2 linked regions of the Solanum lycopersicum genome follow. The main gene of each other region encodes a partner of the protein of the gene in region 2 in a complex. Links are inferred from orthologs where the notes say so. Each region holds a gene or a part of one and is shown on either strand. Other genes may lie near its edges.

The links. Proteins that work in one complex are often made in the same cells at the same time.
Region 1: protein TIC 22, chloroplastic (region 2) and protein TIC 20-v, chloroplastic share a complex: the UniProt entries of both Arabidopsis thaliana proteins name them as parts of the tic complex. The link is inferred for Solanum lycopersicum from reciprocal best matches to the Arabidopsis thaliana genes Tic22-IV and Tic20-V.

Annotation. Positions count from the first base shown.
Region 1 is NC_090811.1:6,212,148-6,215,536, forward strand, and holds protein TIC 20-v, chloroplastic, read left to right. Parts: upstream 1-1,717; 5' UTR 1,718-1,793; coding exon 1,794-2,387; 3' UTR 2,388-2,604; downstream 2,605-3,389. UniProt on the Arabidopsis thaliana protein: May be involved in protein precursor import into chloroplasts. Not redundant with TIC20-I, TIC20-II or TIC20-IV.
Region 2 is NC_090803.1:65,447,337-65,452,403, reverse strand, and holds the start of protein TIC 22, chloroplastic, read left to right. Parts: upstream 1-1,708; 5' UTR 1,709-1,821; coding exon 1,822-2,259; intron 2,260-2,641; coding exon 2,642-2,704; intron 2,705-3,710; coding exon 3,711-3,785; intron 3,786-4,303; coding exon 4,304-4,354; intron 4,355-4,543; coding exon 4,544-4,603; intron 4,604-4,711; coding exon 4,712-4,777; intron 4,778-5,067. UniProt on the Arabidopsis thaliana protein: Involved in protein precursor import into chloroplasts. Imported into the intermembrane space via the Toc translocon. May be involved in the import pathway used by proteins without a cleavable N-terminal pre-sequence.

The sequences.
Region 1 (3,389 bases), on a different chromosome or scaffold from region 2:
ATCTCTTAGAAATGAAAGGAGAAACAAAGTGAAAAAATAAAAACCTATTCAAACTGAGGAAATAAAGCTTGGAACAACTGGTATTAATAGAGGCTTTGAAGACATGGGAAGGAATAAGGCTGCTAGATACACTGGAAGATTAGGGGTGAAGCAATATATAGATAGCTCAGAATTGAACAGTAAAGACAATAGGAATGAATTGGATCCAGAATTTGTTAAGAGTGTTGATTTACCAAGTAGAAGAAAAAGTAAAAAGGTAAGATTTGATCCTGATTGTGTTGTAGCAATTTTTGAGCTTGGTATGGTATTTGAAAGTGTATACATAATTTTGTTCATTTCTTACTCTACTATATAAAGTCTCATTTTAAGATATTTCTATGCAGCTGGTACTTCAGGAGAAAAAATTATCAATTTGAGAGTTTATAAGGATGCAGCTCCAACAAATATTGATATTGGTTATAAGCCTCGAGGACTCAAGTGGAATGGTGGAGATGCTGTCACTGGTTCACAGTTGAAACAAATCACTTATTCAAGAAAAAACAAGCGTGGAACATCTAGTGCACCAAAGAATGCCTAATTTATGTAGAAAAATCACTTTTTGGTTGTGTAATTAGCAGCAGAAATTTGTATTGACTGCTTGAAACTTGAAGCTCACTAGAGCAAATTAATGGCATGAATGATCAATTTTTACTGCTTTTGAGGCATAAATTATCTACACTCCTTCAATTAAATCATTACAATAAAAACACAAGGCATTTACAATAGAAAAATCGATCAAAATTGTCCACAAAGAACTCTACAATCTACCATACATACTTTTATGAAGGAATCTAATTGAAGACAAATGAACCAACTAAGATCATTTTGTTACACAAATCCAAGTAGCCAATATCATCCCTACGATAATGCATATCATCCATATTTTTCTTGATCGATTCCTCTCCAATTCATATGTTTTGACTATTTTCGACAAACCCCATATCACCCTCCTAGCTTGAGCAGGCATTTCATCATCATACCATCGAAAATATCCACATCCACCTCGTGCCTACAAAATTAAAGAAAAAAATTGAATTATAAATAAGGTGATTCTTTACTATATTGGACAAAAAAAAGTGAATTTGATTTACCTTTGAAGTTTTGCAACAAAGGAATATACGTCCAGGATTGGATTGCGTCCATGAGATCTTCATTTTCACAACGTTCCCATATTGACATAGTACTTTCGCAGTTAAAGAAGAAGAAATCGATGAAGTAGATAAATTTGACATTGAAACTTGATGATTAAAAAGAAATCAATGAAAAAGAGATATAATATAATGAGCTAAAGAGGAGAAATAATGATGAAGAGAAACAAAAGAGGAGAAATAAGGGAAGAATGGGAGAAATTAGGATTAAAAGGGGGAAGAAAATCGTTGGTGGATGGTTCAAGATCCACATCAGCGCTTTTAAAGCGTCTGCACACGCTTAAAGGACGTGAGATCACGTTTGGCTCCACATTAGCCAAGAATATTTAAAAAGATCAAATTATAGGGGGTTAAAAGATTCAATAGGAATCTAGATTAGTTGAGGTAACTGGGAAAAACACGAACAACTTTAAAGACTTGCGTATGTATTTGACCCGTAGACATTTTTCCTCCAAAATGGATATGGAATTATGGATATTCAAATGGTATCAATGTAGCCCGACCCGCAATTCCATCAGGATTTTCAATTGACTGCTGACCTAATCCAATTTCCCCTTTTTCATTCTTTCTCCCCCCCAAAACAAATATCTTTGGCCATCCTCAACAATGGCCATCACCAATCTTTTATCCACCACCATTACACTCAAACACTCGCCATTTCTTCTACTGAAACCCTCAACAAAACTCAGAAACCCTAAAAGGCCAACAATTCGAGCTCAATCTAAGAACGACGACTCAGTAGATGGTCCAGATCGTTTAATCTCCGCCATAACTTACTTCTACCCTTTCTTTGATGGTGTTCAGTACGGTAAATATGTAATCACACAGTTTGCTCCAATACAAACACTTATTCAACCTTTAGTACCAGCTATAAGGGTTTTTAAGAGCTTTCCGCTTAACGGGTTGTTGGTTTTCTTTACACTCTACTTTATTGTTGTAAGAAATCCTAATTTTAGTAGATATGTCAGGTTCAACACTATGCAAGCTATTGTTCTTGATGTGCTTCTCATTTTTCCTGATTTGTTGGAGAGGAGTTTCAATCCAAGTGATGGGTTTGGGTTGGATTTGATGATGAGCTTTGATAGTACTGTGTTTTTGTTTCTTTTGGTATCTTTGGTTTATGGTACTTCGTCTTGCTTGTTGGGTCAGCTACCTAGATTGCCTATTGTTGCTGAAGCTGCTGATAGGCAAGTGCTATGAACTCGTAATTTTACTTGTTTATGAGGTTTCATCCTCTTTGTACACTTAATTATGTTTTGCTTTAGCTGACAATTAATATCTATTTCGTTCCGAAAGTAAATGTTTATGCTCTTTAGAGCCTTGTTCATGCATATCATTTTGCTGTTTCTTAATGTGGATATGTATATTCTTGTAATGGCATTTCGGTTTCTTTAATCAAGTAACTACTTTTTTTCTATGTATCTGCATTAACAAAAATATATAGAGGTATTTCTTTTTTATAACCGTAATGTCCTGGCGTACACCTCAACTATTTCATGGAATATCTTAACTGGAATTGTTCCAAGTGACTCTGCCCACTACAACTTAGGCAAATAGAAGATCTTATTGCCTCTGCATAGATTTGCACTTTCGTGTTGTGTAGTTTCGTTCCAGCTTCATGGACTTTGATGGCTTGCCATTGAGTGCCACAAAGGTGGTGATATTATCTACAAGTTCTGTCATTTTTTGATATGAAGATAGTTCAATCCCTATTTCTAGGTAACATGTTAGTTACATCACCATTCTTTTTTTTGGTTTTTGGATGAGGTAACATGTTACATCATCGGTATGTTGGTGTTTAAGGAAGAAATTCATGATCCTAGTAGCCAGTTGTATCATGATTTTAAGTAAGGGTCTCGTTTTGTATTATCTTGAAAAGGGCAAGTATGCAGAGATACACGGAAGTTAGGTATCAGGTTTTGATGTTATTCTTTGAGACAATTCGGATAATGTCCTCCACCCCAACCTAGAGCTTTCGCTAATTACAGAGACTTTGATGATTTACGTAAAGGTATTGGCATCTAGTATACACCTTCTTTATGTAAAATGCTAGTATGCCTCTCTGCCAGTACCTCTTCCATTTGTTGTATAGTAATTTTAAAAGTAGTTTACCCTTGGACAGAAAAACAATAAGCTAAAACTAGGACGGAAGAAATAATGCTCTTAATAGCTGCAGGTTTTATGAATCTGCATCTTTTTCTT
Region 2 (5,067 bases):
ACACATGTCCTACATGTCATTTTTTGTCCAACGTGGTGTCCTACATGTATTTTGCCATGTAGGACTCATGTGTTTTAAAAAAATTTGATAGTTAAAGTGTATGTTTGTGCATAATGAAAGTTGAAGGTCAAAGTTAAAATTTGAAGCCAAGTTTAGAATCCAATGTATGTATTATGCCAATAATATTTAAAGAATAATTTGTTTGTTTACAAAAATACCCTCCATCATTTAAAATAGAAAATAGTTTGAAGAACATCTATTATTCCACTCTCGAAATAACTTTTCATGATACTATTAATTATTATTATTCTTGCTATTATAATCAAATAATGGATAAGAATAATTAAACGATCTCTAATGATCGTTTTGGTAGTTGGTTAGAGTTATGCATTGATATCTATTAGTAATGTAGTGATTATTTATGAATTAGTCGATCCATTATTTTATGCAGATATGAGTTATTCGTGTATTAGTTATCCATAAGACATACATTAGATTATTAGAATTAATTATTCCACTTTCTATTATGCATTAAATAATAAATAGATTTCATCATAAGTTATACATGTATTAATTGTGCAGATTTCTTAACTGTCAACTAAACATTGTATTAATTTTGTACATGTATAATTTATTTTCTATGATTTTATCCACCTACTAAACATGTATAAGTTGTACAAAAATTAATATGAGTAACTTGTTTCTCATCCAGCTTCCAATCACTTATATACATGTAATTATTTTCATTATTTGTGTCTATGTAAACATAATTTGACATGAGATTGAAGTCTCAGTCTAATAGTTACAAGTAACAACTTTAACTTGCATGTAAATGCCAAGTCTAAAAACAATATGCGTACGAATATATGTTTTTCAGGTCATTAGAAACTTTTTATGTACTATCGAACAATAATTTGGTGAATATAAAATGGAGGTTATTTGAGTTAATAAGCTTTGATTATTTTTTTATTGTTGCATCTTTGTGGTTTATACTAGGTCTTACTCCAACTAAATAACTTATGAAACAATGCAGATAAGAAATTAATTGTGTCAACTTTGTACTATACAAGTTACATGAAAATTAATTGAGAAGTCATCCCTATATTTAATTACTTTATGGAGAATCGAAAAGGATCAAATTTGTTTTTGAACTATGCAATTAAAACAAATTTGTCATTCATTACTATGAAGGTCAAATATGTCCTTGTCGTTACTAAAATGGGCTAAATTTGCCCTCGTTACCCCTCCTATTCTATTTTACAAGCACGTAGTAATAAACAAAGATCTCAAAAGTTTATTTTTTAATGAAAAAACACCACACTTGGCTTCAAGTTGCTTGATCTTGCATTTGATGTTTGTGAACAAAACGACCAGATATGTTCAAATTTGACCTCAATTGGCAAGTTAACACTTTAACTTTGAGTATGCACATCTAGATACTTCGACTCATCTTTAGCGTCCAGCTTTGTAAGTAATCATCTAGACACCTCTAAAATTTACATGTCACATCAGCATCAAGTGTCCACGGAAAATAGAGGGGTTGTTAGTTGAGATCAAATTGAGTTCAATAGATATTTTTACTTAATAGTTGAGATCAAGTTTGAGTGTGCCTATTTATATCTTATGCCGATATTCTTTATATAATATTTGTATATAAACTAGACAAACGAGACTATTATATATTGTGATTTGTGATGGATGGGCCTTTAGTAGATGGATTAGTAATAATAATAATTGGACCTAATGTGAACCGAAAGCCCAAACTTGAAATACGAAAGCCTTCTTCTCCGAATCCTCTTCCCCTTTCTCTGTAAACAATCAATGGAGTCCAAACCCTCAAGCGGATTCGGACCCTCCAGTAGTCCTCTACTGTCTCTCTCCACCTTCGTCCACCAGCACTGCTCCCGACTCGGTGCTGAACTCGCTAACCGATTCGACGAAGCGAAACGGCTGAGTTCTAAAATCGCCGCCGATTTTATGCAGCAGCCGCTGCCAGCGGCGATAGGGAGGAGTTGTTCGTTGCCGTTGCATTCTTATCATCTATCTCTTCCGTTCGCTTCGGTGTCGCAGCGTCAAGAGAAGGTCGCTAAAAATACCGGTTTGAGCTCGGATTATGTTGCTAAGACATTAACTGGAACTTCTGTATACACAGTTAGCAATTCTAACAATGAATTCGTGCTCATTTCGGACCCGAATAGTGCGAAGTCAATCGGATTATTGTGCTTCCGTCAAGAGGACGCCGAGGCATTTCTTGCTCAGGTGAACTTCATTTTTTAAAATGAATTTATCGAATTTTTTCTCTATAGAAGAGAGTGAAAGGAGAGATGAACTCCTTTATCAAAGTAGGGTAGCAGGAAGGGGAAAAGATATGTATAAATTAGCCCAAAAGAGAAAACTAAGTTAAAGATGATTGCTTTAAAAGAAATTATTGGGTAATTATCATTGGAACATTGCCTTCAAAGGTCAAATTATTTATTTTTGGGATGTATTGAACCTGAATATAGTGGAATTGATACATAAGATAGCAGATACAGAAGACATAATGTGGACCTTATTAGTTTGCAATTGAGGCGTTGTTATAGAAGTTTTGATATACATGGAAGGCTTGTTTGTGGAGAAATGAACACGTGAAGATTTTCAGGTACGGTTGCGGAAGAAGGAAGTGAGAGGTGGAGCTAAGGTAGTTCCGTTGACACTTGATCAGGTGAATTTTTGTTTCCTTTTGCTAGGAATTTTTCTTTTAAGGATGTATCTGCTTTGGTGATTATTTTCTTCTTTCCTTTTAAAAGTTTGTACATTCATTTGAAAAGAATTGCAAACTTTAGGAGTGACATTAGATTACTCTATGGAGAAGGCCATTTTCTTGTTTTAAGGATTGAACTTTAGCAAAATTTTAGTACCATGAAAGTGTCTGGTAATAGATATGGTATTTGTGATGGACAGTTTTGTCTCTAGTGCTTATCAAGATTGGTTGGTGGAAAGTCAGAAGCTACTGATGATCGACTTGTGTGTATATGTACAATCTATTTCTTTGCATATATTGATAACTTCTTCTTGCAAGAATGGGTATAAACTTTGATGGTTATTGAATCGTCCCTTATTAGTTAAAGAAGTGTTGGATTCAAATACAGCAGAATGGAGATACCGATCCTAACTTGTTTAGATTGACACATAGTTGATTGATTGAATCAAAACAGAGCATGCATGGTATTTAGCATAAGCAATGGAGTCTTTTCAAACGCACCCCTTGAGATAAGGCTCGATTAGATTACCTGACCATCTCAGGTTAAGATTAATTTACTGAGCCATTTTCCTTTACCATTCCTTTTAGTGATTTCTTCTCTTTTACATCATTAAGATAAATTGTATGCATTATTGATACATTTTGTATCTCTTGTTCATCCATAAAAAAGGGGATCCTATCGTGCTCCTTTTGAGCCTCAGACGTCTGATCTGTCCCGTTTAATATATCTTCTTCTGCTATTAAATTAAAAAGAAAAAATTGAAGCTTAACTTAAGAATGAAAGACATTTTTGTCTCTATTTAACAGGTCCAGTGTACATTAAATAATCTACTGCAACTAGTTGCAGTTGTCTGTATGTGCAAGAATTTCTGTTTTTTGCTTTTCCATTTCTTCCTAAAGGTGTTGCCAGGCACTTGTCCCGTATTTTGAATAGTTACACGTCTTTCTTGTTGGTATCACTTTGCAGGTTTACATGTTGAAGGTTGAAGGAATCGCATTTCGTTTTTTGCCAGATCCTGTTCAAATTAAGAATGCAATGGAGGTAGTTACCCATGTTGGTCATCCTTAAGTTTTGTGTCTGGGATCCTTGTAATTTCCACTGAATGTAGTAGAATTGCACAAGGACGCCTGTTCAGTTGTGCAAGTGAAAGTTATACTGTATATGTATATTCATCTACCTGTGATAGTTTTACGTGAAAGTACACTGGCATGTAGCTTTAACTAATGACCAGATTCCAGAGGTGGTAGAATTGCTTGCAACCCATCAATTTTTGAGGTCCACTGACATACCCTTGTTTTTTCTTCTCTTTACTGTTAATTCAAATATTTCCAAAATGGAGGTCTTTTCGAGATTTGAACTTGGGTTACTGACATGCCTGGTATGTAGGCTCTTGCTCACTAGTCTAGTAAATGAAGCATAGATTATTAATGGCTTGACCTCCATTGCCACCCAACTTCTGTCTCCTCCTCCTGGAAATATCTATTTGGCTAAACATAATATTTCAATGCATGCTTATTAAAAAAATCTGTTCATCTCAACATTGTCTTTTCCTGTGACAGTTAAAAGCTTCTGATGTAAAGACTGGATTTGATGGAGTCCCTGTTTTCCAGGTAGCATATAAACTTTTTTGCCAACTGTATGCAAAAAAACTCTAACATTACATGCTCAGCCTGTGTATTTTTTGAATTATGAGCCTTCACTCACTGGAAAGCTTTTGCTAAATATTTTGTATATCAGAGAGTGGACTGCTGAATATGGTTAAACTCCGCTTAATTCTGTAGCTTTTTGTTCTTGTGCAGTCAGATCTCCTAGTTGTGAAAAAGAGAAACAGACGATACTGTCCAATATACTTTCGAAAGGTATGTTGGTTTTTAATATCTTGAACTGGAACTAGTCAGAAGAAACAAAAAATTAGATATAGTTATTATTCGTGATGGTTTTCATTGAATTCCTTTTCGGGTATACAGGAGGATATAGAAAAGGAGTTATCATCAAGGGCATTGAGAGGATCTAGTGTCTCTCAGCACATTATGGTATCATAATCACTTTTATCTTTCTGTTTTCTTTCTGATAGGGCGTGCAAATAGATTAAGAATGGTCAAACATGCTAAGAGGTGAATATATGATGTCTCTGAGAACTTACTTTTAGTAAGTGTTTTGGAGTAAATTTCATTCGCATTGATCTCTCTTTTATCAAGTGTAACATTGTCTGAATGCGTAGAGGATTTAAAAAATTGAATTTACGTGCTACAGGTTTCACTTGGAGAGCCTAACATTGTAAATTTTGCATGTAATGGAGAGGATTAATGGTTGAAAGTTTTTA